Linked DNA regions of Mus musculus. The protein of the gene in region 6 interacts with the protein of the main gene of each other region in a pairwise test. Links are inferred from orthologs where the notes say so. Each region holds a gene or a part of one and is shown on either strand. Other genes may lie near its edges. The genes, in order: Spg21, Ncs1, Abhd16a, Arnt2, Glyctk, Dtx2 and Trim54.

The links.
Region 1: the proteins of Dtx2 (region 6) and Spg21 interact in binary tests that used the Homo sapiens proteins (3 or more experiments, as listed by UniProt). The two-hybrid records come from large-scale screens. The link is inferred for Mus musculus from reciprocal best matches to the Homo sapiens genes DTX2 and SPG21.
Region 2: the proteins of Dtx2 (region 6) and Ncs1 interact in binary tests that used the Homo sapiens proteins (3 or more experiments, as listed by UniProt). The two-hybrid records come from large-scale screens. The link is inferred for Mus musculus from reciprocal best matches to the Homo sapiens genes DTX2 and NCS1.
Region 3: the proteins of Dtx2 (region 6) and Abhd16a interact in binary tests that used the Homo sapiens proteins (3 or more experiments, as listed by UniProt). The two-hybrid records come from large-scale screens. The link is inferred for Mus musculus from reciprocal best matches to the Homo sapiens genes DTX2 and ABHD16A.
Region 4: the proteins of Dtx2 (region 6) and Arnt2 interact in binary tests that used the Homo sapiens proteins (3 or more experiments, as listed by UniProt). The link is inferred for Mus musculus from reciprocal best matches to the Homo sapiens genes DTX2 and ARNT2.
Region 5: the proteins of Dtx2 (region 6) and Glyctk interact in binary tests that used the Homo sapiens proteins (3 or more experiments, as listed by UniProt). The two-hybrid records come from large-scale screens. The link is inferred for Mus musculus from reciprocal best matches to the Homo sapiens genes DTX2 and GLYCTK.
Region 7: the proteins of Dtx2 (region 6) and Trim54 interact in binary tests that used the Homo sapiens proteins (3 or more experiments, as listed by UniProt). The two-hybrid records come from large-scale screens. The link is inferred for Mus musculus from reciprocal best matches to the Homo sapiens genes DTX2 and TRIM54.

The regions. Positions count from the first base shown.
Region 1 is NC_000075.6:65,459,496-65,463,736, reverse strand, and holds the start of Spg21 (maspardin), read right to left. Parts: upstream 2,801-4,241; 5' UTR 2,583-2,800; intron 1,037-2,582; exon of another isoform or gene 833-1,036; intron 1-832. UniProt on the Homo sapiens protein: May play a role as a negative regulatory factor in CD4-dependent T-cell activation.
Region 2 is NC_000068.7:31,244,680-31,248,722, reverse strand, and holds the start of Ncs1 (neuronal calcium sensor 1), read right to left. Parts: upstream 2,801-4,043; 5' UTR 2,545-2,800; coding exon 2,481-2,544; intron 1-2,480. UniProt on the Homo sapiens protein: Neuronal calcium sensor, regulator of G protein-coupled receptor phosphorylation in a calcium dependent manner. Directly regulates GRK1 (RHOK), but not GRK2 to GRK5. Can substitute for calmodulin. Stimulates PI4KB kinase activity.
Region 3 is NC_000083.6:35,099,291-35,103,487, reverse strand, and holds the end of Abhd16a (phosphatidylserine lipase ABHD16A), read right to left. Parts: intron 3,154-4,197; coding exon 3,090-3,153; intron 2,850-3,089; coding exon 2,800-2,849; intron 2,604-2,799; exon of another isoform or gene 2,527-2,603; coding exon 2,403-2,526; intron 2,247-2,402; coding exon 2,142-2,246; intron 1,947-2,141; coding exon 1,883-1,946; intron 1,710-1,882; exon of another isoform or gene 1,661-1,709; coding exon 1,604-1,660; intron 1,519-1,603; coding exon 1,456-1,518; intron 1,343-1,455; coding exon 1,266-1,342; intron 1,191-1,265; coding exon 1,092-1,190; intron 1,014-1,091; coding exon 967-1,013; intron 819-966; coding exon 735-818; 3' UTR 501-734; downstream 1-500. UniProt on the Homo sapiens protein: Phosphatidylserine (PS) lipase that mediates the hydrolysis of phosphatidylserine to generate lysophosphatidylserine (LPS). LPS constitutes a class of signaling lipids that regulates immunological and neurological processes.
Region 4 is NC_000073.6:84,281,039-84,284,538, forward strand, and holds part of Arnt2 (aryl hydrocarbon receptor nuclear translocator 2), read right to left. Parts: intron 3,090-3,500; coding exon 2,955-3,089; intron 1,134-2,954; coding exon 1,059-1,133; intron 1-1,058. UniProt on the Homo sapiens protein: Transcription factor that plays a role in the development of the hypothalamo-pituitary axis, postnatal brain growth, and visual and renal function. Specifically recognizes the xenobiotic response element (XRE).
Region 5 is NC_000075.6:106,155,339-106,159,607, forward strand, and holds the start of Glyctk (glycerate kinase), read right to left. Parts: upstream 2,801-4,269; 5' UTR 2,528-2,800; coding exon 2,151-2,527; intron 1,959-2,150; coding exon 1,807-1,958; exon of another isoform or gene 1,655-1,806; intron 1,247-1,654; coding exon 1,071-1,246; exon of another isoform or gene 770-1,070; coding exon 1-769.
Region 6 is NC_000071.6:136,008,300-136,011,799, forward strand, and holds part of Dtx2 (probable E3 ubiquitin-protein ligase DTX2), read left to right. Parts: intron 1-1,714; 5' UTR 1,715-1,789; coding exon 1,790-2,057; intron 2,058-3,500. UniProt on the Homo sapiens protein: Regulator of Notch signaling, a signaling pathway involved in cell-cell communications that regulates a broad spectrum of cell-fate determinations.
Region 7 is NC_000071.6:31,130,112-31,133,611, reverse strand, and holds part of Trim54 (tripartite motif-containing protein 54), read right to left. Parts: intron 2,571-3,500; coding exon 2,398-2,570; intron 1,625-2,397; coding exon 1,453-1,624; intron 1-1,452. UniProt on the Homo sapiens protein: May bind and stabilize microtubules during myotubes formation.

The DNA.
Region 1 (4,241 bases), on a different chromosome or scaffold from region 6:
ATGAACTAACCAGTACCCCCAGAGCTCGTGTCTCTAGCTGCATATGTAGCAGAGAATGGCCTAGTCCGCCATCAATGGGAGGAGAGGACCTAGGTCTTTCGAAGAGTCTATGCCCCAGTATAGGGAAATTTCAGGGCCAGGAAGTAGGAGTGGGTGGGTTGGGGAGCAGGGGGAGGGTATAGGTGATTTTTGGAGAGGGGATAGCATTTAAAATGTAAATAAAGAAAACATCTAATTAAAAAACAAAAAAAAAAACTAAGCCATTTAAACCATTTTTAGCACATCTTTCACCATTTAAAACTGCTTTATTTGATAGCTTCATACATTTATGTAGTACATTTTAGTTAATTTAACTCTCCTGTCTCCCTTTAAGTTATTACTTTAAAATAAAAGCAACTAGCGGCATATACAGTTAATCCTGGAATATTTTATATCAGGACAGACTTGAAATACCACCACAGCATCTGTGCACTTCCAACTGGAAACATTTTCTAGAATGTCTGCAGGAGGGAATATTAAAGACAGGCTAAACAGCCAGGTGTGATGGCACACATCTTTAATCCTAGCCCTCAGGGGCGGACAGCTAGCTCTCTGGGAGTTCAAGGCCATCCTGGTCTACATAGTGAGTTCCAGGCCAGCCAGAGCTATGCAGTAATAGTAAGACCCTGTCTCAAACACACAAAGCTAAAACATCAATCAACTTGTTAAAGTTTACTTCTAGGATCGACCAACTTACAAAAAAAAAAAAAATTATCCACAGTTTTAATAAGATGCCACTCACAAACCAAACTAGGTACAAGCACACAGGCAGGCACACAAATGAGCTACCTACTTCTTTCCCACAGTGGCCGAAGGGTAGTCCTTACCGGGTCTTCAGTATAACTCACAAGCAGCTCAGTACTGACCACATTGTAACTAATCTTGATGCATAAGAGTTCCTACACAGCTGTGAGGACACTTTTGCAAGGACAGGTGATTCTAACACTTGTGCTGGTTGGGTGGTGAGGAAAGGTGAGACAGTTACCAAATGTTGCCAAATGTTGCGTAGGACCAGCTGACGGCTAGGAAGAAAAAAAAAAAAAAAAACCTGCTGCAAAGCTAAAGCAGCTGTGAAGGGTATGAAAAGGAAAGTTTGTTCTAGCTCTCTTTCATCCACTTAAGCCGGATGCTTTTCCAAGTCACAAGAGAAACATTCTTAAAAAAAAAAAAAAAAAAAAAAAAAAAAAAAAATCTGTGGCCCAGAAAGTTAGCTGAGACTGTGACCAAACTGGTCAGGATGAAAAGAAACATGGGCAGTGTGTTCAGGACAGATTTGCTTTCTCGTGACTCTGTTCTTTACAAAAAACAGAAGCACCTGTTCAGGCTGGTGAGGAAAGAGGCAGAGATAAGCTTTATCAAGGAAACCCCTCCTCCCGCTGGCCAGGATGCTAAGGCTCCCCAGCTCTTCTTGGACCTTGCGTTGCTGGACAGTAAGTTGGCTAGTTGTGAGAGAGCATGTACTTGGCCTTCAGAGTTTCAACAGAACCTGCAGTTCATAGCTGAGGAAATCGCCTCTACAAATGTTTAACACACGGTCAGTCACATATTGCTGGTCCTTTATCTCAATGTATAGGTGTCTTATATAGGGACAATCTGTGGTTGTTAATACAACCAATTAAAAAGGTTATTAGAACTAGAGAGCCTCTAGGTGACATAACTATGGTTCTCGGTGTTGGGGAACGCTCACCATGGGCTTTTACCACTGAACTACACCTAAGGCCCTGCGGCGGGCTGTTCACTACACATCTTCATCCTTCACCACACCTATATGTATTAAATAGCCATCTTTTTGGAGATTTCTTCAGGTAAGATTTATCCTTTCTCCAGGAACCTATCCACTTCTCTCTAAATATCATGAGAGGAGACGCTGCCCGCACATCTTTCTCTCTGACCACTCGTTTCAAGGTTCTGGTGTAAAATCTTTTTGAAAACTCATACACAGCTATTAGACGGCTTCCCAATGTGCAGAATCCTTGCAAAAAGAGAAGCTAGACCACTGCAGATGGAGACAAAACAACATCAGCCCCTAACTTCTAACTCCCTGGGAAAAGAAGAAAAAAGGGGGGGGGGGTTTCTCTCGCCCTGCTACACTCTTCATGACTCTTTCACAGGCCTCACACCTAGTCTGAGGTAGGATCTTTAAAACAACTCTACTCGCAGCCCTTAAAAGTTGACTGAAACCAAAATGCTCCTGAATTTCTGCCCCAGGATGGGTGGCTCAAGAAAATGAGGATGTCTGACTAAGGATTTTGGGCACCAATCGCCATAGGGGCCGCCCTGGGTTCCACCAGTTCAGAAACAACAACAATCCGCAATGAACCGAGGCTGAACCTTAGACAGACCCACAGGCACAATCGGACACACACAGGCGCCCGCGAGAGCGCACCACACGCACACACAGAGATATGGATCACGTGCATGGTCACAAGGACCTGCCCACTCGTGAACTCTGCTCGTAAGTCACGCATGCTCGATACACGCCCACCTACAACCCTACACGCACCACACACCCACACTCTTGCTTTCCAGGGCCTGCCCCTCACCTGCCGTGGCCGCTCCCGCGTCCCTTTCTTTCCAGCCTAGACGGATCTTCGCCCCGATTTGGGCGCAGAGGATGGAGTCGGCGGGGCGCGGACTGGACCGGCGGCCGCAGATCAGGAGCCCCGCGGGAGCAGCGGGCAGAGGGGGCGCGCGGCCGAGCAGCCAGAGGCCACCGCCTCCCAGCTTTGGTACTGCGAGCTCCCCGGGCGCGCCTCCCGCTTCCGGGTTCCGAGGAGGCGGGACCAGATGGCGAGGAAGGGGCGGGGCTCTGGTGGTTACTATGGCGACGGGGCTGGCAAGGGAGGCCCTGTTCTGAGATTTGCGGTGTCCTAGAGGCTGTGGAGGCTGGTGGTGGATAAGGGTCAGTTCTTGGTCACTTCTGACAGGAGCATGGAGGAGGAAGTGAAAAATCTAGGCTGTAGGCCCCGGGGATGTGCTTCTGACTTCGGTTTTTAGGCGTCTTCATGCTTTGGTGGGGAGACACTTTTGGTCCATAGCTTTGGTGAATAGGCCTTGACATAGTCTTTTTAAAACATTAGTATATATCAGTTCATTACAATGGCTTAATTAGGACATTTTGATACCTATATAAAGAATTTGGATCATCACCCTCCCTTAGTCTCTGCCTCCCATGTCCCATTCCCCTTCAGCCTCCCAACTGCATATGCTTTCTCAGCAAAATTGTTTTTACCTTTTGTATAGACGCTGTCCTCTGACCTCCTTTCAAAGCCTTGTCTCCTTTTATGGCTTTGTGCTGATGTTGAGGGGGTATACTCAGCGCTGGTTTGCCCTCTTCTGTCAGGCACAGTCTAGTCACTGTTCTTACGAGAGATGTGGCAGATGCCACAACACCTTTCAGTTAGCTTACAGCTTTGCTCTGAAATAATGCATAATAATATTGAGTGACCTGTCAATCTTGTTTGAAAATTTGTAAGGTTCCTAAAGCAAGATCCTAATGTTTTAGGGACTTTTAAAAATATTTTTTATTATTATTACTTTTAATCGTGTGTGTGTTTGTGGGAGAGAGAATATATGGTGCACATGAGTGTAGTTTATAAGGAGGGCAGAGGAGGATCCTAGAGCTGGCATTACAAGTGTTTGTGAGTTGCCTAACACGGGTGTAAAAGTAATATGTATTCTTAACCTCTGAGCAATCTCTCAGCCCCCACGTGTGTGTGTGTGTGTGTGCGTGTCCCTGTGCCTGTGCATGTACGTGTGCGTGTGTGTGTGTGCGTGTGCCTGTACGTGTGTGTGTGCGTGTGTGTGTGTGTGTGTGTACGTGTGTGTGTTGATGCCTGCTGAGGCCAGCTTTGGACCCCCTGGAGCTGGAACTGCAGATGATTAAGATGGATCAAGCCTGACTGGGTACTAGGAACTCAGCTTTGGTCCTCTGGAAGAGCAGTAAGTTTGTTAACCACCAAACCATCTCTCCAGGCCTAGAGAGCACAGACGAAAACAATGACTCAAAAAAACAAAAACAAAACCACAAAACAACCAAACACTGATCTATGGCTCAGGAGTCTTAGGTTCCAGTCTAGAACTTAGACAAACACCAGACACATTTTCCCCAATGCATAGTGATGTCTCGGCTCTCAAAAAGGTGAGGCAGAAGGATCTCAAATAGTGGTACTGTATCTCAAAGCTAACTGAATTGTTCAAAA
Region 2 (4,043 bases), on a different chromosome or scaffold from region 6:
TGTTGGTTTGTGTGTAGATGTATTCTACCCTTTCGATTGCAGCTGAAGGCCAGAGGTCAATGCTGGATGTTACAGCTTTCCACCTTCCTTTGCTTTTAAAGGTTTGTTTTATTTTTAATTATGTGCAAGGAGCTTGGAGCAGTTGTGTGTGTGAATACAGAACCCATAGAGACCAGAGACTGTGGCTCACATTGAGCTGGAGTTACAGGCAGTTGTGAGCCACACATGTGGGGGCTGGCAATTGAACTCTGGTCTTTAAGGAAGAGCAGTGCTCATTCCTAACCGCTAAGCCATCTCTCCAGCTCCTCCGCCTTATTCTTTGGGCTGGTGTCTCTCAATGAACCCAGAGCTGGCCATTTCACTGGACTGGCTGGCCAGTGAGCTCCCAGAATCCCTCTATGTCTGCCTTCCCCGTGCTGGAGTTATAAGCATGAACCACAGTATCCAGCTTACATAGGTGTGTGCTGGGGACCTGACTCGGGTCCTCATGCTTGCACAAAGCATCTCTCCGGCCTCATAATTCACACTGTCAAGAACTCAACTCCAGAGCTCAGCCCAGACCTAAGAGAAGAGCAAGCCAAGCAGCAGGGATAGGAGATGGTGACATTTGGGAATCCTTCCTGGATGATGCGTCCCTTAACTCCCTACTCAGTATTTCCCTGGAAGAGAGGGGAGAGAGAGAGAGAAAGAGAGAGAGAGAGCGCAGCTGTGGACCAACCACATAGACTTGCCTGGAGGGAGCTGGTGTTCACAGGGAGATAAGAGAGAAGCAAGTGAGTCCCCCAGCCCTAAGTGAGGCCTTGGATGAGGGGGAAGTGCCCAGACTGCCTCAATCCCTGAACAAAACTGCTCCACATCACAAAAGCCCTTTAAAAATAGCTCAGCGGAACTTCACCAGGCCAGTGCCTGACAAGAGTTCTGCTGGCCCCATTCTTCCCAAGTTAATGGCCAGCCCTTCAGAGATGGGGCTGAACGAAAGGTCTTTCAAATCCAGCACTGGGCCAGGGTAGGAAAGAGAGGCACAGAGGGCTCTTGGCATAAGCCAGGGATGCCAGCTCACATCTCCCAGCCTTGCCTTCCTCTCTATGAGCAGCTGGAGTGCCCAGAACAGGACAAGCTGTTGATGTACAGCTGTGCTAAGGACACAGCCGATGGTGCATGACACACTCAGTAAGCAGGACCCTGACTTCACAGGGCTCATTGGTGGCCCCCAGCCTCACCATCATGGAGACAGCATGGTACACCACATGCCATGGTTCCTGGAGAAGTCCATGGAGCCCTCTACCCTCCCCACACCCTGGGGTCCTGGCCCGTTCAGGGAGGGAGGGTGTCCCACCAATAGCCTACCTGCTAATGGCTGTGAGCCACACCTTCGAGGGTCCAGTTAACCTCACAAACAGCAACAAGCTAGAAAAAGCTACCCACCCAATCTGGAAAGAGAGAGTAGGCAGCCTGGGCTGGGAAGGATAGTTCTCCTGGATGTGACCTCCAAGGTGTCCAACTCCTCAGGACAGGGGCCAGGAGAGCCCAGGCAGTAAAGCCCCCTTTGTTCTAAGTCTGGGAGAGTGAGGAGCATGGGGCTAAGGCACTAGGTTGACCAAGACCTGCAAACGTGCTCAGAAGACCGATACCGGGGGTGGGGGTGGGGGTGAGAGCAGAGACCATGCACTGCACCAGAGCCTCCATCTACACCGAGCTGTCAGTTAACTGCCTGTCTTTCCGGGTGATGCAGAGCGCTCAGCCAAAGCTTCCCAGGACCCACTTCCAGGGCCACCCCTGGAGAGGCTGCGAGGAGGGGGGACACCTGGTGTGGAGGCACTAAAGATGCAGAGGCAGATCTGTGAAGTTGGGCAAGTGGAGAGCCACGCCTGGGACTGATCTAGTGGACCGTGGAGTGGGACAGACCTTCCTTCGCTCGTCAGCTCGGGCCATGTAAACCCATTTCCTGGTGCGGTAGAGACAGGAGAAGGGAAGGGGGGATGGAGAATACAGCCCAACCGTGCGACATCTAAGAGGGCGCCCAGGACCCTTGGCCCTCTACCGTCACTACCTGAGCGTTCTACCAGTCTCGCCAGCCCTCTTCCTCCCAACACAGTCACACTTGCCAGGGAGGGGGCGACAGGCCAACCTCGCAAGAGGCAGGAGCCGCAGCAGCATCATTAAGCATGAATCACCCACCCACCCTGCTCCAAGCAGGAGAGCCACACAACGCCCGGGCGCCCCCTCCTGGGACCACTGCCCCCCGCCCCGGCACAGCCCGGGTCCTTCGGACAGGAGGGGAGCAGCGGGTGGGCTGCGGATGCCCTGAGGACCCAGAGTGGTCCCTGGAGCACGCTGACAGGCGACACCCAGCCATGGCCGGGGGCGGGGGCGCGGATAGAACAATGGGCCAGGTGCGGGGCAGGGGCGCGGCCGGGAAGGGCGGAGGGAAGGTCGCGGCTCGATGGGGAATCGGGGATCTGGGATCGGGGCTCACTCACAGTAGGTTTTTCTGGTCAGCTCCTCCACAACTTCAGGCTTCAACTTGCTGTTGGATTTCCCCATGCTCGGCGGCCGCGGCCCCCGCTCCCCGGGCCGGACCCGCTCGGGGCGCCCAGCGGGAGCGGTTGGGTCGGGCCGGGGTGCGCGGAGGCCGGCAGGCCGGGCTGGGCCGGGCCGGGGCCGCGCCTTTGTCTGGCCGTGCCCGCGCGTCCCGTGCGCGGGGCTCCGGCGTGCTGCGCGACCGCGGCTGACGGTTCAAGGGGCCTCGGGGACCCGGCGAGGGCCAGGCCTTGGCGGTGCAAGCGGCCACGGCGAGGAGTTGCGCGGGGCTGAGAGCCGCAGCCGCCGGGGCTCGGTTGCCGCGGTCGTCCCTGGTTACTGGGCTGCGTAGCACATGCTCGCTACTGCTGCGCCGCCGCCGCCCCTACGCTCCCCGCCTCCCGCCCGCACCGGCGCGCCAGGGGTGGACTCGGAGCCGCCACTCATCGCCCGGCGCCACCTCCCGCCCAGCTCCGACAGGCGCGAGCTCCGCGTTGAGGCACCCCCTCTCCTGTTGGCTCTCCGGGGACGCTGGGAGGTCGCCGCACCGCCCCCTCCGCCGATCCATTCCCCCCTCTCCGCAGCGGCGTGGGCAGGGAGGGCCCGGAAAATCGGACGTGAACGAGGCCAAATCCCTGCCCGGCGCAATTCATTCATTCCACTTAGATGTGTTGGGCGCTGGGGACCTGGCGGCCAAGAGGACAGACGCGATCCCAGACCTCTCCAGGAGCATCCTGATGTGCTGGCTGGCATGGGTTTCGGTGGGAACACTTTTGCCTGGCCTTGAGGGAAGTGACTTCAGATTGAGAGAGGAATGGGGTATCAACCTGGAAGGGGTCTGGCCTGGGAGGGAGAGCAGCCTCTACACCCGGGGCTCCAGGCAAGGCTGGGAATGATCTGAGGCCAGGCAGAAGGGCCAGAGCTTCTGGAGACCAGCCTGGCAAGCCGCTTTCCCCAAAGACCTGGCCTCTGTCCCCGGTGCCCAGGAGTACTTGCAGTTCAAACCTTCTCTGTTGTGGGGCTTGCTTGAAGTGGCCAGAGGGAGCAGAGCCTGTTGGTGGGGCTCCATGCCTGGAAGCCTGCAGCTGGGGAAGGACTCCAGGAAAAGGATGGCCTGCTCTCCCCTCCTCCCAAAATGTCATCGTAATTGAGACCTCTCCTGACTTTCTGCCCAACTCTGTCTCCTTAACAGCTCAGGAAAACTTGGACCTCTTAGTCCATTGGCGCTTGCTTCTTCCAAAGAATGAGCCTCAGGGGGAGGGGAGCAGAAATATGTCTTGCTCTCAGAAGGCCCTGAGGGCCAGTGGCAACTTCTGTGAGCCAGTCTTAGTAGCAGAGGCCAGGGAGCCAGCCCAGCTAAACAGGGAAGTGGGTGGGGAGGCAGTAGGATCCCTGGTTCACAACTGGCTTAGACAACATTAGGAGGAAGAGTTCTCAGGGAAAGGCATGAAAATAGATCGGGTAGGGGAGGAATGACCCATGCCAGGAACCAGAGCCCTGGAAAGACCATGGCAAGATGAAGC
Region 3 (4,197 bases), on a different chromosome or scaffold from region 6:
CTCAGGCTCTGCGCTGGGAGGACAGGAGTGCTTGGGGCCTGGCCCTTGGTCCCCACTGGCTGTGTGCTGACTTGCAAACATGGTATATGGACAGACTTGGTGTCATGCCAAGGACAGGCATGGGGTCGGTTTGCTGTGGAGATAAGCAGAGCTAAGCAAGGAAAATGGGGGTGGGGATGGGGAAGCACCTTCAGGAGAGAAGCTGAGGAGGCAGAACCGTACACCACAAAGTACAGTTATAAAGGAGGGGCATTCTGACCACCACCCAGGCAGCCGCCCGCAGGAAGGCCCGGGTGGGCAGTGAGAGCCATGGTGGCTGTGTGAACACTGGGCACAGCACACGAAGGGTCTGGACTGTGGGCCCAAAGTGCACGATAGCTGAGGCAGGGAAGTTAAGCTGGCCTGAGCAGGGTCTCCCAAGCTCACCCTCCAGGGCTTCTGCTCTCCCCGCCCAAGCCACTAGCTGTCTGGACATCTGGAACATCTCATAAGCAGCCAGATTGTAGAAAAAATACCTTTTTATTAATTATTAGGAATAAATCATTCATTTAATGCAGGTGTGTATGAGGGGAGCTAAGTGCTTCCACATAGATGAGGGAAACGTGCAGGAGGACTGTTGGCCAGAGGGGATGTCCCCACGGGCCAGACTATAAACAGCAACATGAAGAGAGTCACAAAAGTATCCCCTCGTGTCTCCTCCTATCTTGTCCTTCCAGAAGAGTCTACACGTGGTTCTAGAGGTGCCAGGGCATCTGGAAGTGCTGGGCCGGGAGTGGAGTGCAGTGTGTGGCCTCAAAGTTGTGTAGATGCTTCCGGGCCTGAGAAAGGCAGGTCAGGTCAGAACAGGGCAGCTTCCCCTCAGAAGCCACGCATCCACCCACTCTAGGATCCCTGCATGAGCTCTGTATGAGCCCCGCTGTGCAGGCCCTGCCCCTGCCCTGCCCCTCACCCAGCTCCTGAGCTCACCAGGAACAGCGCCAGCTGCCTCCGTCCATCTGCACTCATGTCCTCCCCTGCACAGGGAGAAGAGGCCCTCAAATCCCTGCCTGGGACGTCCTTCCTCTCCTCCCAGCCCTCCACACCATCCTTACCCACACTCCAGGGGAAATCAGGCCCATGCTCTGCCTGGTAGGAGCGAAGCACAGACACACACCAGTCCTCCTCCACCTCCCAGCGACTGTAAATGGAGGCTGATGGGAACAGAGGAGTGTCCTCAGCAAGCTCTCCTTGCCAGGCCCCTGCCCACCAGCCTCTAGATACCTCACCTTCCTCTAGCTGGGAAGAGGCCTCCAGCCACTGCCTCACAGCTCTGAGCCCCTCCTCCACCATCACTCGAGGGTACCTTGGGAGGAGCACAGGGTGGGACAGAATGGAACCAGTTCACGCCTCAGCCCCCACCTCATCCTTCCGCCTCACTGGTGTGAGCACTGAGGTGTGTATTCCCACAGAGCTCACCGGAACTGCAGGAGCTTCAGCAGGAGGTCATTGCCTCTGTTGGACATGATGTCCTCAGGGACCCTGGGGGCGACAAGAGTTAACCCTGGTTGGGAAGCTGTGTCCATGGTGACAAAGGTGGGAGAGAAGGCAGAGCCCGGGTACTCACGTGGTGGTGATGATCTCGTCCTTGGTTCTCCGGACCAGCAGCACGGGGCCCTGGAACCTTCAGAACAGAGCAGCAGGGAGGGAGAGCTCAGAGAGCCAGGCCACAGCTGAGGCAGGAGTAACAGATTTAAGGGCACGGGCTCAGTCTGGCCCTGGGAGCCAGGCTTAACCCTTCACTGCCACATCATGAGTGAGCCAATTCAGGGTCTCCTAGCCCCGGGAAGGGTTGGGCCAGCTCGGGTAGTGGCCGCTTGCTGACGGGCACGGTGGCCACCCTCACCTGCACAGCTGCTCCGAGTTGTTGAGGTTGAGATGCTGCCTCACCGTCCTGGTGACCAGGGCTCCTAGAGTGGGACACCGTGAAGGACGCAGAGATGAAGAGCTTGCCTAACCTAAAGGTCCCACTGTCCACTGGGCAGGGAAGCCCTGTTTCTCGGCAACGGGGTGGCCTATCTCCACCCACACAGTGACAGCACCCAGTCAGAAGAGGCCTGTGCTGCCACCCTGACGGGAAGGACCGGCAAGGGAGCTGCACTCACGCCAGCTGTCCGGCATGACCTTCAAGGCCAGGGGCACCAAGTCATCGAAGGAGGCGTCCAGGATAACAGCACTGATGTCTGGGTAGGACATGGCTGCCCACGTGGCTAGAAGCAGAACAAGAAATAGGATTGGGTCCCTTCATGTAGGTCTTATCAACTTCCAACCTCTCTCTCTAAAAGCCTCCATCCACCCCCTCCTTGGGAGCCACCCGTGCCTGTGCCCATCTCTACTGCGCAGGGACGAGTAGGGGAGGCAGATACCAGTGAAGCCTCCAATGGACCAGGCGTAGATGACAATGTCCTGGGGCTGGAAGCCCAGGCGGTGGATGGCAAACTGAACCACCACATCCATGGCATTGGCCTCGTTCTGTGGGAATGGTACCCCCTGCAGGGAGACGGGCAGAAGCAGGAGGGGTCAGCCAGAAGACAGCTCACCTAGTGTGGACCCTTCTTGCAGCCACCCTGTAACACACAGAGATCATGTGACCCATTGTGTCCCTGACTGCCATGGGAGGAGGGGCTGCAGCTCCCCAGCACCCAGGTCACAGGCATGTGGAAGGCCCTGCAGAAATGGGCACCAGGTTCCTTCTTCCCATGGCTGAGCAGAGGAAGATGCACAGGATTCTGGAAAAGGACAGGTCTTCAGAGAGGGTCTCACCGTGCTTCCTGCAAAGCCTGGATGATTCCAGCCCAGGACAGAATAGCCAGCTGTAACACATGGAGGAGGGAGGGAGTCAGGGAGGAGTGGGGGGGAATCATGCGACCGTGCAGCGGGGCAGGAGGACAAGCAGCCCAGGAATGAATGCAAGGTTAACAGGGCGGGAGTGGACCTTCCCTCACAAGGGAGAGACCTGGACCTCACCCTGATGAACGGGAGGGAGGTCAGCATGGGAGGAGACACATTCCGGTCCAAAGGATAGAGATAAGAGGTGTGAACCACGAGCCTACCTTCTAGGGGTGTGGAGACACAGCCCACCTCATAGAATCCTGCATTCCCCTCACAGCAGATGACCTGGGGAGCAGAGAGAGGAGGGGTGGGAGAGTGCTGGGCGGGACAAAGGGACTGCAGGTGCTATGCACAGGGCCTCAGGAGACTATGGAGGCTGAGTCTAAGTCACCAGCACGGAGGCCACTTCCCCTGAGATGCCACCAGGAGAGCTCTGATAGGATGTGTCTGGGACTCTCCTAGGTGTGCAAACATTTTTCTCCTCACCGCCCTCCATGGTGTTCAAGCCAAAGCATGGGGATGGTGGCAAGTGGGCGGGCGGGCAGGCAGGCGGGCGGCAGAACCCAGCCCCCTGGCCGCCTGTGCAGTGCTTTCCCAGGCCAGTGCTGCCTTAAGAGCTGGGCTCCTCAGCTCAGGCTGCAGCGCTGCTCCTCACAGCTGTGAGAGCACCTGAGATAACCCACAGGCTGGTCCTGCATGTGTCAATGCTATTTCTGTTTCCTTGAGGCAGGGTCTCACTAGGTAGTTCAGGGTGGACTGGAACTCAGAATCTTGCCTGGGCCTCCTTCATCACCATCCCATCTACTCTTTGTTACTGTAGGACAGGGTCCTGTTTATCCTGGTCAGGCCTTGAACTCAGCCCAGGGATGACAGAGTGCACCATGCCTGGCTTTAGGTGAGCTTCCCGAACACTAGGCAACTCTCTATACCTGACTTCACTTTGGTGATGAACTGCCATCAGGCTGCATACGCTAGCTACAGTGACATCCCCAGTCGGCTATGATATTCTCATCTTTAAACTGCAAACTCACCATGTAGCCAAGACCTTAAACGTGATCCACAGCACGTGTGTGGCGGTGAGAAGGACTCCTCCCCTGTGTCCCCTTGCCTCCGACTTCAAGGCGGGGTCTTTGTTGCCTGTGGCAGTGCTGTATACGCCAGCTGGCAGGGGGTGCCCAAGGCGTCTCCCGCCTCCCTCCCACAGGAGAGCTAGGACTACAGCTCTCATGGTCACCATGCCAGGCTCTATACAGGTTCTCAAGATCAGAACTCAGGTCCTCTCGCTTGCATGGCCAATACTGCACCCGCTGAACCATCTCCCTGGCCCTG
Region 4 (3,500 bases), on a different chromosome or scaffold from region 6:
GAAAACAAGTAATAAATTAAGCCCATATTCCAGTGGATGGCAGCAGGTTCCTCTCTTATAAAGTGGCCCACAGGTCTCTTTTCTTATGTCCATTTTCTCCATTTCCAGGATTACAACATAGTCTGGTGGGGAGAATTCCCCCCCCCACCCCCCTTCCAGGCCTGAGGAGTCCACAGGCCTCATTCTTAATTAGCTCTAACTCACCAAAGTGTGACACTTTGTCCTTTGCTTCAAGACTCTCCTGTCCCCTGTGCTCACCATAGGAGGCAACAGTGACTTGTGACAGGTGCCTGTCCAAAAGTGTGTGCACTATTATGGTGGCCATTCTGCCAGGCTGCCTCTACCTCACTGTTCCTGTCTGAATTATTCTCTCCTTAAGTTACTTCCCATATCTAATTCCCATAGGCCCTGCACAGCTCTGGAGACCATCGCTCATTTTCAAGGTCTTCTGACTTACCCTTGTTTTCATTTATTTGCATACCTGGGCTTCCCAAGTGGCTCTTCAAAGCATCATTTGCCTTATGTGCTCAAACGAATTGCTACTCACGTTCATGGATCCTGGGGGAGAGCTGAGGCCTTATAGCAGGACCCAGGAGGCCTCAGACCTGACCTGGCTGGTCTCACTGCCTGCCACTACCTCCTTTTCAGCCCTAGGAGTTGCAGAGGTTCCTTCTGGTAGGCACACTAGTGTGTCTGGTACAGGCCCATGCCCCTAGCATGTTCTCTCATTTCTTCTGTATTCTCCTTTTAAACTCTTGTCAGCTGCTCTCTCCTCTGGGAGCTGCCTCTTCTCCCAAGTCACCCTCTCTAGCCTTGCTGCTTGGGGAGACGCCTCAGAGCCTGCCCTCCATTCCTGCCACATAGCAATTCCTCATGGGTCTTACCCCCATGCTTGAAATCTTGCCCAGAATAGCTGGCTGACACTGTAGTTGAGCTTGGTGGCTCACAGTAGGCCTTCATCCCTCTAGCCCTCCCTCACCCCAGGTACCTCACTAGGCAGCAACAGCAGCAGCAGCAGCAGCAGCAGCAGCAGCAGCAGCAGCAGCCATGAACAATACCTGTTGGAAGCTCTCCCGTAGGTGGCTCTGATCCTCAGGGTGGCAAAATTCCAAAATATCCTTTCCCAGAAGGTCCTAAAGGGGACAGACAGCTTTAGTAACCCCAAAGCCCACTCTCTATCTCTTACCCCTACCCTGGAGACAAAGGTGGTGTTTATACCCTCCCCTTGAGCCCACCTCCTCTTGCCTGCCCATCGCAATCTTAAACATAAAATGGTCTTCCTCCTCCTGTCTGCTGAGGAGTTGGCTTCCTTGCATCCATTCTAAATTCCCCTGGCTCGTCCTCACTTCTAATTTTGCTTGGGCGCTAGATCAGCAGCTTTAAAATACAACTTTATTTCTGTTTGCCTTGGAGAGGCAAACTGCAATCAACATATTTTTAAAAACATCCAAAGAAAGCTCAAGGACAGACATGCTGCCTACGAAAACTGAAACTGTTTAAGTATGGAAACCAGTGGCTGAATGAGGCTATAATAACTGTGCCTGCCTCAAGTTTGTTCATTATTGACCTTCACTAGTCTAGGTGCTATTTGAAAGATCCAGCCTTCGTCTAAAACTTGTGTGTTTCACCTTGAGTAGGAGCAGAATAAAAAAAAAAACCATCAAAGAGCAATTTTGACTGTGCTCCAGGGAAGTGTCTTAAACAGCAAAGGATGTAAGCATTCTCAGTGATGAGAACCTGTGTGAACACACGGTGTTGGAAGTGAGCCGACTCAGCAGCAAAGGGCACTTCCTATGCCTCAGGAGCACCCAGACACTTCAGGGAGCTGCTGCAGGATGCATAGGTCCGTCCAGAAATGCACGGCTGTCAGGGGTCATTGACTTTCACTTCATTCTATCTGAGAGGTCATAGTTTGCATGAATCTAGCTTCAGAATTATAGAAAGGCTCTAATAATTTTGTCTGAACCAGTTCTAAAATCTACACACGGGGCTGATTCAAGCACAGATAAAAGTTAAGTAAATAAAATAAAAATACACATGCAATTAAAATAACTCATGTTAACATATCCCAAAGCTTCCCAAAGTCTTTTCCTTAGAACAAAGAGACATGTTTGTATGTAATTTTTAAATGACTTTTTATTTTAAGAAACTATAGAAAAGGTAAAAGGATATACATGAAATAAATACCTGCATATCATTGCATCGATTCAATTATATCATTATGTTATTAATATTTTTTATTTTCTTTTAAAAAATATTTTCTTTATAGATGTTCACATACAAATGCAGATGGGAGATAGTCTCTCTCTCTCTCTCTCTTTTTCTCTCTTTATCTCTTAACAATAAGTTGTAAATCCCATAATATTTCTCTACGAAGTCTTTCAGCATTAATATAATAAATGTCTCATCAGACTGCAAAACCAAAACATGATCATACCTAAGAAACCAATACTGATTTGATATCATCTCCATACTCCTCACACTTGTCCCCTAGGTGTCTCCTCTAGGCAGAGATCCTCAGGCTTGGGACATGAATCATGCTTTTGTACTATAATATGTGGTTGTGGTCTCTTGGCTTCTCCTGGGTGGCTCATACCTTTCTGTGTTTCCCATCCTTTTTCAGAAAGGATCCAGAGAAAAGATCTGAAAATATGTCCTAAGTAAAAGATTTCCTGAGGCAAACACCCCTTAGGTATCTTGACAGTTGTCAGACATACAGAAGCTTTGTAATAAAAATAAACTGATATTAACTCCCATCCTTTGTGACAGTGGTGCTGTCTTACAATGAACAGTGTGGCTTGTGAAGGATGTCAGCCTGGCTAAACAAGGAATCTGGACTCCTATGTCATTTCTCTATGATGTCATTGTGCTGAACCTTCAACAAGCAAGATAAATACCTTTTGAGTGAAGTTACATCTTTCACCAGTATCAGGAGCTCAGGGCTAGCCACTGACCTGGGGCTGGTAGCCAATCACACTGATGCATCTGGGGTCCACAAACGTGATAATCCCATCAGAGTTGTGCCGTGACAGGAACTCTGTGGGCACTGACATGCCGCTCATGTCCATGCACACAGGAGAGCTGGTCACCTGGGATGGAGGGTTGATAAAGATGCAGATGAGGACATGGCAAGAACCCACACATCCTGCTATGCCACTGCGAAGATGAGCGTGAGGAACTGAACTAATGCGTGGCCGCTTTCTTTACATTTATTAGGCCATGGGGATAATGAATATTTACAACAAGCCATAATGCCACAGGGCACTTGTGATGATAAAAGATATTGCACACTATGCTGGCAAATGGTTCGGGCTCAGCAAATGTTGTCTTATCGCTCTCTCATCTTCCCCTCTGAAATTGGTGCAGAGACTCTAAAAGTATGTGTTTCTGGACTGAATTCACCCCAGCTACTCTTATGTCATGCACCCGAGAAGAGATCTAGTGTTTGTTCTATGTGAATTAAATCACTTATTCATTTGTTTGAAAATGGTCAGGCTTAG
Region 5 (4,269 bases), on a different chromosome or scaffold from region 6:
AAGTGTATGAGTCGTTATTGGCGAGGGAGGTGGCGATGTCCAGGCTCTCAGCAGAAGCCTGGCTGATGAGATCAGACATGACCCAGGCCCCGGCCACCTTTGTAGGCCCATCCTGCCCATCAGTGCCTCCACTCAAAAATAGCACATCAATAGGTCCCAGTGGCTGCCTTCCCAGCTCCACTCCCACGTGCAAGGCCAGTTCTTGGTTCCGACCGCCCTTGCCAGATCCCTGCAGCTGCACCGTGGGCTCACCACCAGCCAGGAGGCAGACCGGCCCTTTAGCCTTTACCACCGCTTCCAGAGCCTCCTCCAGCTGCAGGTCCGGGAGCTGGAGCTCAGCTGCCAGCTGATGGAGTTCCGCCTCCTCCTCCAAGGGACGCTCAGCCAAGGATGGAGTGAGGTGGGCTGCAGCCACCCGGGCTAGCAGCCCGTAGAACCGAGCCACTCTTTTTACATCACCCTGCATGGCTGTGCTCAACACCATGGCATGGTAGCCCAGCACCTCGGCTTGCCTCTGAGCCTCAGCCAGCGCCAGAGAGTTAGAGCCGATGATCACATTGAGGACGTGGCCACAGGTGTGTGGTCCATGGGGGTCAGAGTCAGCTCGGGAGAGCACAGTCTTCACAGAGCGGGGAAGAGCAGCACGGAGGCCATAGTGGTTGAGAATATGCAGGCAGTCTTGCACACTGTGGGTGCTGGCCACCGTAGGGCCACTGGCAATCACTTCCAAAGGGTCCCCAATCACATCTGACAAGATGAGGCTTATCACCTAGACAAAGGCCACAAAATAAGGTTCAGTCTTGCCTCCTCCGTGTTCCGGGGCCCTTAAGGACAAACTGGGCCTGGGTATACAGCATCTGGTATGCTTCCTTGCCCACATCTACCCACATCTTGCCACTTTCAGGTGGGCTGGCAGAACACCTAACCAGAAAGCCTCCCTCTTACTCTCTCTAGGCTTCCTCCCAGGACTTTCCAGGCCAGGCCCCTGCCAACTCATATGTTGGCTTAAGCTCTCATCTCCCTGTCACGTGTTGGGAACCCAGGGCCTACTGAAGAAGTGATTAGTGCACCTGAGCAGGATAGGCAGCCTGAGCCAGCCCTCCACCCTTCAGCTGCGACAGGGCCTTGCGGATGGTGTTCAGCTCCTGGATCGTGGCTCCTCGGGCTGCCAGCAGCTTGGTGAGCATCTGTTTCTCCTCCAGTGTGACAGGTGGGATAGGAGCAGGCAGCAGGGCTGAGCCCCCACCTAAAGTCAGTGAGAGTGTCAGGGAGAGGAGACAGCCCGACCCAGAGAACCAGGCAAGCCATAAGGAAGGTCCTCTAAGAAGGTGGGGTTACAGTGCCCCCTTGTGGACACAGAGTGAAGTTGTCCCCTAGTAGGGGTATACCAGATCCCAGGAGAAGCTTGCTAGCAAAGTGCTTGCCTAGCCTGTGTGAAGCCCTGAACTCTATCCCCAATACCCCCCAAAAATTTTTGTTTTTAAATTTAACTAAGAAAGAGCAAGAAAAAACAGCAAATAAGCAAGAAGAGAGATCCATGGGGTCTGGAAACTCAGCTTCAGGAGCACGAATGACACCGCTGCAGACAGCAATGTCTTCCAAAGGTTCTGATGTGTGTCAGTGTTAGTACCCAGCTGTGCCTTCACCATTACAGATGTTCAACAGGGTGAACTTCCAGCTGAGGAGAGGTGACCAACCTGACACCACTCACTAGGTACCCTCCAGGTTCCTCACTGTCTGCCATGGTCCTGACTTCACCCTGTGACCATATGGTACTCGGGGCACCCCTGTCGGCTGGTCCCACACCTGAGATGAGCACCAGCAGCAGGTCATCTGCAGTGAGCCCCTCTGCCAGCTGCTGGATGGTCAGCGCGGCCCGGAGTGCATCCCGATCCGGTAAGTTGTCCTCGGCGCCCTCGAACACCTGGATGCGGCTGTGTGGCTTCAGCAGCATCTCTCTGAGAAGGGAGAAGGGATGGGGGTGGGCTCCTCTCCTCCGACCTGACTTCTCAGCTGTACAGGTGAAAGCGGCCCACTGATAACCCATTTAGAAACCAGGCCAGACCCAGGAGATAGGGAGATCAAAGAGGAAGGGAGGTGTTCTTCCAAAGGACAGTAGAGGGCGTCCCCCTGCGCCCATAGACTCTTACTTCTTTCCAGCATGTTCCATAGCGGCTCGGATCCCCTTGGGTACGCTGATCACACCCTGCACAAGATGCTGAGCCAGCAGCTCCTCGGCAGCAGCTGCCATGCCCAGTACGGCCTTGCCGAAGCCCACTAGGTAGAGGTTTTCCCGCAGCTGGAAAGTCCGGTCCCGCACCTTCAGCTGTCTGCCACTAGGATCCAGGGACAGTGTCCTCTGCAGCATGGGGCCTGGCTGCACAGCACCCACTGCACTATCAAACAGCTGCCGTGCCTGTTCTGCCAAAGCCATACCACTGGTCATCCGGGCCACTGGGGGCCCCCAGAGGAGTGGACGGGATGGGGCTCGGAGGAGACAGGGCAAGACCTGTAGGGCCGCAGCCATGCCCCGCTTCTCTCAGCACAGCCTCGTGTCCATAGCTGCCTAGAGAGGGAGGAGAAGGAGTGAGGCCACGGACAGAACCCCACCATCCATCATGGCCACCCCTCCGAGGGCTCAGGACTGGCGGACTCCATAACCTGAAATGAAACCTGGAGAAGTCATGAAGCCTGCAGCAAACCTGATCTTACACCAGCCCTGAAAGCCCAGCCCTGATGCCCAGCCACGTCCTCTTCTGTAGACCACACACCAGTCTTCTGGACACTCTGCTCCAAGTCCAAAGTTCCTGTTAAGTGGACCTTCCTCCTAGGTCACCTCCTTTGCCTAGAAGTTAATCATTCATGAAGGACGCCGTTCCTACCAGCAGGCCCCTGGGCCATTCTTCTTCCACATCCTGTACTTCCAAAGCCCTCACACCACGGCAGTGCCCCCTTTCTGGCATTTATGCCTTAGACGTTCCTTTACCACTTCTACTGCCAAGAAAAAAAAAAAAAAAGGCTATTGGTTGTCTAGCCAACTGACCCGGAGTCCATTGACCTCTAGCCTGCTCTGTTAGCTCATACAACCAGTCTGGCAAAGCTGGGTCCATGTGGAAAGGCTGCAGATTTACCAGTGCACACAGCCTAAGGAAGCTCAGGACTCAGGCTAGTTCAGCAAGTGGTCCAGGCACGAATCAAGAGTAACCACAAATCTCACTCAAGGTCAGACCTTCAGCAAGTCCCCAGGTTATAAGCAAAAGGACATGTGCTATGGGGCTCAATCTATAGGACAAGACCAGACACCCTTGTCCCCATACAGCTGGTCATGATCAGCCTTGCCAGGAACATCCCTTTCTGGCTCCATGATAGCAAAAAACAAGTCCTGAGTTACACCCTTCACAACAAAAACAGCCCAGTGCTAGAGCAGGCAAAGGCCGGGTTCCAGTAATGAAGCCCAAACAATCATTTTCTCCACTGGGCAGAGTGAAGGACAGAAAGGTCTTGGGGTAAAGGTCGGGAAGCTACAGCGTAACTATACAGGAACAATAAAAGACTCAGCTGCAAAAAGATATCTAAGTTTAGGGACAGGAGGGTACTGAAGACTGTGCCCGGGCTGTCCATGTAACGAGCGAGCATGCGCTCTACCACTGAGCTACATTCAAGCCCCTAAAAAGGTAGAAAGACAACTGTATCCGTAAGCATGGGTGGAAGAGGGCGGAGTCTAGGGATGGGGTTCTAGCTTTTTTTAAAGCGTGTATTAGTATATCTTTTCTCACACTGAGCTCATTTGCAAGATGTGGGACACAATGAAGCCTAACTCTCACTTTTCAAGGGAACTTGAAAGTGTAGTCCTGTGGGAGAGACCTTCCCTAGCATGCATAAAGTCATCCAGTTCTCCATAGTGCTTGGGAGACTGACGCTCGTATTTTCCTGACACCTAGGGCTTTCTGATTCTCTGTACAAGCTGACAGAGAAAACTCCAGGTAACAGTTTATCCCACTCCTAAACAACGTAGCGCCTGCCAAACCTCCGCCATTTAGCCTTGTAGTTCCCAGCTAGCTTTCCCAGAAACTACTGTTTGTAAAAAGGAATACACAGGGCACTGCCGCGGGACGCCTGCAAACATGTTCAGTTTTCATGTATGGGATTCCCCGGGCTTGGTACTAAACACATCTTAGCATCCAAAACATAAAGCTCAGTCCTAGGTGAATTTTGTATCTCTTTCCCAGAAGGGCAAAAGCCTAGAAGGTCCCTATTAGAATTCAAGGG
Region 6 (3,500 bases):
ATAGTCCCTTAGCTGTTCATGTTTTTGTGTGGTAAAGATGTGAGTGTGTGCCTGTTTGTGTATGCAGAGGTCAGAGGAGGACTCATCACTTTCTATCTTACTGCTGAGACAGGGACTCTTACTGAACTTGAAGTTTGCCATTTTGGCTAGGCTGGGTGGCCAGCAAGCTTTTGAGATTCACCTATTTGTTTTATAGCACTGGGATTACAGATAGCAAGCATGCCCAGCTTTTCTGTGGGTTCTGTAGGTCTAAACTTGGATCCTTAGATCCTAGAGCAAACTGTCTATCTCCCCAGCCTAGGAACCTGTGTGTAAGTCCTACCTAAGCTACTGTCTCAAGAGTGTCTTGGAACCCTTGTTCTGGGCTACAGAACACCTGTGAGGATGCTGTAGTAGGGTGTACTCTCACAAATAAGTCCTGAATTGGGAACTGTAGGGCTCTTACACAAACATACAGAGTCATTGTGGCCTTGTCCACAAAGATTTGGGGTGATTTAGATACACTGAGTGCCAGGGCATGGCTCAGCAGAGAGGAGCTGGGGTGTGTGGCATGGGTAGGTCTTCTGTGTGTGCATCCCCACATGTGAAGGAAGGAGGGAAAGACGGAAAACACTGAGCAGAAAGTAGTAGAATCAGAAGGAAATGACTGGGCAGATCAGCACCCCACTTTCACTGTGCTCCCATCTGGGATGTTTGCTGAAGTGGAGGTAAGGAACAGGAATGGCTTTTAAGATTTTTTCAATTATTCTTTGTAAATTTCACACTATGTGTGCCTCAATCCCACTCATCTCCCTGTTCTTTCACATCATCTGACCTTGCAACATCCCACCAACATAAACAATAAAAAATAAACAAAAATTATCTCATCGTGGAAGCTGTGGTGTGTCACAGTGTGTCTGTCCCACAGTCTATCCCTCTTGTCCACATATCTTTACTTCAGTTCATTGCTATGAGTCCTTGGTTTGGTTCGAGTCTTCTGGCTTCTACTACAGTACCAATGCTGGCTCTTTACTGGGACTCCTCACAGCTAACCTGCAGCCTTGGATCTGCAGGACCTGTCCCTTCACATGCTCAGCAGTTCATAGATGGGGTAGTTGTTGGGCTGGGCCAGCTCAAAGCCCTGGATCTGGGCCTAGGTAGTAGCTGAGGTGGTCAGCCTGCCAGCTCTCCCACACCTATACCATCAGGGTGAACTCTATAGCACTGCCCTGGCTAGATAATCCAATGGGGAAGCAAGCAAGGGCCAGGGCCAGGGCCAGCTCTCCCTCACTCATGTCACCAGGATCAGCTCTACTGTGGCGCCTGGGGCTCTGGTGAGGTGTGGGCTGCTTTCCCAAATGCTGTAGCTGGTGAGGGGCGGGGTCAGCTCTCACACCCCGGGGCTGGCTCACCCTCTCCAAGAATGACTTAATTATCCTGTCTGCTAGAACAAGAGATAGGGATCAAGAGTTGATCCAAGGTACCCTGAAGGTGGTAGAGAAAAGCTGGTATTGAGGCAGCCAGGCAGTGTTTGCAAACTCCTTTAATCTCTGCACTTGGGAGGCAGAGGCAGGTGAATCTCTGAGTTGGAAACTAGCCTGGTCTACAGAGTGAGTTCCAGGACAGCCAGGGATACACAGAGAATCCCTGTCTCAAAAGAACAAAAGAAAAGGTTTTCTTTAGCTGCCTGACAAGGTCCCCAATGTGTGTGAGTAAATACTGTGTCTTTTTCTAGGTCCCCCAGAGGTGCTGGGCAATGAACCTGAACCTGCAACCCAGCGTGGTGTGAAGTCTTCAGAGAAAGCAGAAGATGGCCATGGCCCCAAGCTCGTCTCTGCCGCAGGTGTACCCTAGCCACGTGGTGGTGGCTGTGTGGGAATGGCAGGATGGGCTTGGCATTTGGCACCCCTACAGTGCCACTGTCTGCTCCTTCATTGAGCAGCATTTTGTCCGGCAGAGGGGCCAGCATTTTGGACTGGGAAGCCTGGCCCACAGCATCCCCTTAGGCCAAGCTGACCCCTCACTGGCCCCTTACATCATCGACCTCCCCAGCTGGACTCAGTTTCGCCAGAACACTGGTAAGACCCTTCTGCCTCTAGAGGGTGAGCCCTTGGTTTGTGACTTGGTCCTTCGATGCCCTTTGTCTTGTGAGCCGCTGTACCCTACAGTGCCAGGCTTTGGGCTGGGTAGTTAGGCTTTAGGTTATGGTTGTGACTGACACACCCTCCATTACTGTTCTTTACATGAACACATCTGATCGGAGCCTGCTCTAATTAGTAATAGCACCCAGGGCTGGGGAGATAGCTCAGTTGGCAGAGTGCTTACCTCTCAAGCAGGAAGCCCTGGGCAGGAAGCCCTGGGTTCTAGCCCCAGCACTGCATAAAATCCTCGATGAGCATGTACCTGTAATTGTAGCATTCTGGAGATGGGGGCTGAAGGGTCAGGAGTTCAAGGCTTGAATCATCCTTGACGATTGCATAGTGAGTTCTAGGTAAGGCTGGGATGCATTAAATCTTGTCTTAAAAGAAGCCAGCTATTACCTGGAGGAATGAACCATGTAGTAGTAACAGATGTATTTGGGAGTACATGTGGAGGCTCTCTTGGCTCCATCATCTTCAGCAGACTGGCTGGCATGCAGTATGTATGCCATACACTAGTGTATGCTGTGGTAGTTTTGAGAATATTCTGCTTGCTTGTAATTCCAGTACTTGGGAGGCTAAGGATGGAGTATTTATAAAACTTTGAGTCTAAATTGTCTCAAAGGCAGAGAAAAAGAAAGCCTTATCAAGTATGAGCCACGTTTGACAAAGCTGCTAACCTCTTTTGCTATAGAGGGTGGGCCCTTGCTTTGTGACTTAGACCTTTGACGTCCTTTGACTTGTGAGCCTCTTTTTTTTTTTTTTGTTTTGTTTTTGTTTTTTGAGACAGGGTTTCTCTGTATAGCCCTGGCTGTCCTGGAACTCACTCTGTAGACCAGGCTGGCCTCGAACTCAGAAATTCACCTGCCTCCCGAGTGCTGGGATTAAAGGCGTGTGCCACCATGCCCCGCTTGCCTTGTGAGCCTCTTTACCCTGCAGTGAAAGCTGGAAAAAATAGGATCTGCTAGTCCTGAGTCAGATAGCCATTTGACTGTCTACCAACAGTGATGATGGTGAATTGTTGGGGGGAAAGAACTGAGGCTGGGGACGTAGCTCAGTGGTAGAGCCCATACCTAGAATATGTGAGGTCCCTGGGGTCCATGTCCAGCAACACAGACATGTACAAATATACATAAACACACCAGACGTGCCATACATATACCACAGACACATCCACCCACGTAGGTACAAATACAGGCATGTACAGACACATACACAGACACAAATATACGTACTCAAACATGACATGGACACATCACTGACAAACACATATGACAGATGGATACACACATGCAACATAGACACATGTACTCACACAGATACACACACAAACACAAATGCACAGACATGGCATGGGCAGACACACATGCAGACATAGATACT
Region 7 (3,500 bases), about 100 Mb from region 6:
TTAGTTTCCACTCAGTTCTTTGTCAGATCTATGTTCAGCTTGCTTTGCTTTGGTTTTTCTTCGATCGGGCCTTTTCATGTTATCCACACTGGCTTTGAATCTGTTATCCTCTTTCCTTGGCCTCCCTAGTAGCTGAGATTACAGTGTTCGCCACCACAACAGGCCACTGCTGCTACATGGTCATTTTGCACTTTTGTTTTTTTTCAGTTCTGGGGATCTATCCGGGGCTTTGTGCTAGGCAAGTGTGCTATATCTCCAATTCTACCTTTTGTTGTTGTTGATGATGATGATGATGCTGTTGTTTTATTTCATCTTTTTTTCTATTTTTTTATTTTTTAAGATTTATTTGTTTTATGTATATGAGTACACTGTAGCTGTCTTCAGACACACCAGAAGAGAGCATCAGATCCCATTACAGATGGTTGTGAGCCACCATGTGGTTGCTGGGATTTGAACTCAGGACCTTCTGAAGAGCAGACAGTGCTCTTAACCACTGAGCTCTCCAGCCCCACTTTATTTTTCTTTAAAACAGGGTCTTTCCTTATACAGCCCAGGCTGGCTTAGAATTCTTTATGTAGTCTAGGCTGGGCACCCAGCATCCTGAGTGCTAAGACTTACAGAGTGCTCAACCATGCCTGACATTATTCTATCTTCTTAAAAACATCGTGTACATTGCAAGTTTCTGTTCTTTAATAATTCCAACATCTCAATTCCCTGAGGGTTTGAAGGGTTTCTGCTAATTGCACTCATGTGGTCCATTTCTCTGTGTATCTTCCATTGTGATTGTTGTGTTGATCTTAATCTAAGGGCCTGCATTGAAGGCATCTTCTTCCAGCTTAACATCTGCATTTGTTTCTGACAAGAACCAGGTGATATAAACGACTTCTTTGATATCTTGGGACTTCAACACAAGCTGAGGTTTGGGGAGTCTTAAATGCACCTCTACCTACACATGTTTTGCAGGTTTTGCGGCATGGCCTCTATCTCTAGCCTGTACTGAGCCAGCATTGGTCATGTGATGAATGTTATCTCTCCTGCCTGCAGGGGCTCTCTGGACCTGCCCTTCCCACCTCCCACCACCACCCCCCATCCCCACCTTCCTAGGATGCCCTTCTCCTCTCAAAGGCCAACTGGTGTGATCTTAAAAATCTCAGCATATCTGGAAGTTAGCTGTGTAATTTCACACTCTTGAGCGTATCTGGTCCTTTGGTGGATACCGTCCTGAAGTGGCTCCCGTTAGATATTAACTAGCTGATGCTGTGGCCATAACCATTGTCTTCACCTTGCCTGACCAGAGAAGGCAGTCAGGGTCAGGGAGGTCAGGTAACTGCCTCAGGGTCGTGTGCAGAGTAGAAAGCAGAGCTGGGGATTTGCCCTGACCACCCCTTACCTAAGTACAGTGAGAACTGCCCAGTCCTAAACCCTTTTCCCGACCCCTCCCTGACTAGATACCTTCTGGCGTTTGTAAATGGTGGGCAGAGGGGCCACCTCACAGTCCTTGTGGGCGCCGAAAACCTTGCAGAGAGAGCAGGTGGGCACCTCGCAGCTCAGGCAGTAGATGTTGATCTTCTCGTCCTCGTGCTCCTCACACATGAGGTGCTGTTCAGCCTTGGCGTGCAGTGGCCTGAGGATCAAGGGCAAGGCAGCAGCGACTGTCAGGGAGCCAGACTGTGACCAGTGGTCGGAAACTTACACAGCGTTCTCACTTTGGGGAAGAAACGATGCTCAAAGGAGACCTGGACCCAGGAAGAATCTATTCCAGGGGACAAAGATGTCACGCAGGACAGGAAGTCATGGGAGCTGATGAGGTCAAGAACATTGAGGTAGACTTTGGTCCCAGACCAGGAGGAGGGAGTAAGATTGAACAGTGTTTCCAGAGGCAAAGTCGGGCCTCCCTGGAGGCCTCCCCTCCTCCCTAGGTCTTCTTTCCCCTTTGTTGTCCTCCTCCCTCTGCTGGGGGGATGTCAGCTTACACAGACTAAAATCATCTGAGAGGAAGGGACTGCAATCAAAAAAATGTCTCCAAAAGATGGGGTTATAGACAGCCTGTGAGGCATTTTCTTATTTAGCCATTGATGGGGGATGTTGATGGGGGAGCCCACTGTGGGTAGGGCCATCCCTGGGCTGGTGGTCTTCGGTTCTATAAGAAAGCAGGCTGAGCAAGCCATGAGGAGCAAGCCGGTAAGCAGCACTCTTCCATGGTCTCTGCATCAGCTCCTGCCTCCGGGTTCCTGCCCTCTTTGAGTTCCTGTCCTGACTTCAGGAATGTCTATGATGTGGGAGTGTGAGGCAAACACAGTGCTCCACAATAGCAATGGAAACCCTAAACTGCCCCTCTATCCCCAAGGGTGCAGGCTCTTCCCTCCAGAGAGGCCAGCAGCCAGGCATCTATCTTACCGGGAGGACTCCTGCTTGTAGATGTCAATGATGTTCTCCACTAGCAGGTTCCGCTGCAGGCCATAGACACCATGCCTGTCCAGGACAACCTCGTGCCTACAAGATGGGCATCGGAAACGTCCTCCTGAAGACACCGTTGTGGAGCCCCGGGATTGCCACAGAGGATTAGAGGCCTGAGAAGACAGGTGACAGGACACTAGAAGTGTAAGGAGGTGTGAGGGAAGGCAAGTGGTGAGCTGACACGGGAACATTAGGTCTTCTCTGCATTTGGTGTCCCCAGACAACACTCTGACAGACGATTTCCTGCCTTGGCCTCATCCCTCAGCTCAGCTCCTTGAGTGTCCCCGCACACAGAGCCTCACTTTGGCCCAGGCCTGATCACTATCTTCAATGGAGTCCAGCATGGGGCTTTGACAGGAATGCTAACTGTAGGCAAGAGACTGGCAGTATAGCCAGTGTCCTCCAGCTTGGACCCTTATGAGCACATGTAAGGTGGTGCATATGTACATGTGCATGTATGTTTGGCAAGATAATATAATCTTGTCTCAAACTCCACGTGAATGGAAGATAACCTTGAATTCCTGATCCTTCTACCTTGACCTCCCAAGTATTGGGCTTATGGCTCTCTCTCTCTCTCTCTCTCCCTCTCTCTCTCTCTTTCTCTCTCTCTCTCCTCTCTCTCTCCTCTCTCTCTCCCTGAGACAGGGTCTTATGTAGTCCAGGCTGGCCTCAAACACTCTGTCTAACTACCTGCCTCTGTCTCCCAAATACTGAGCCATGAGAGTGCTTCTCTTTAGTCCCGGGAAGAGTCACACAACTCAAGTGCTGAACAGGGACAGAGGAATTGCAGCCAGGCTCGGGATGTGGCTCAAGTGGTAGAGGCTGCCCTAGATTTGATCCCCAGGGGCAGAGTGGCGCACTTGGGAGGTAGAGGTAGGCGGGTCTGCTCCATAGGAGGTCTAACATCATCCTCAGCTACATAGGGAGTTTGAGGGCAGCACAGGATGAATGAGACCTGTCTAAAAAAGAAAAGGAGAGAAAGAAAGGCTGGACATGGTGGCACTGGCGGCTTAGCTGAGGCTCTTTACACTGTGTGTCTTAGA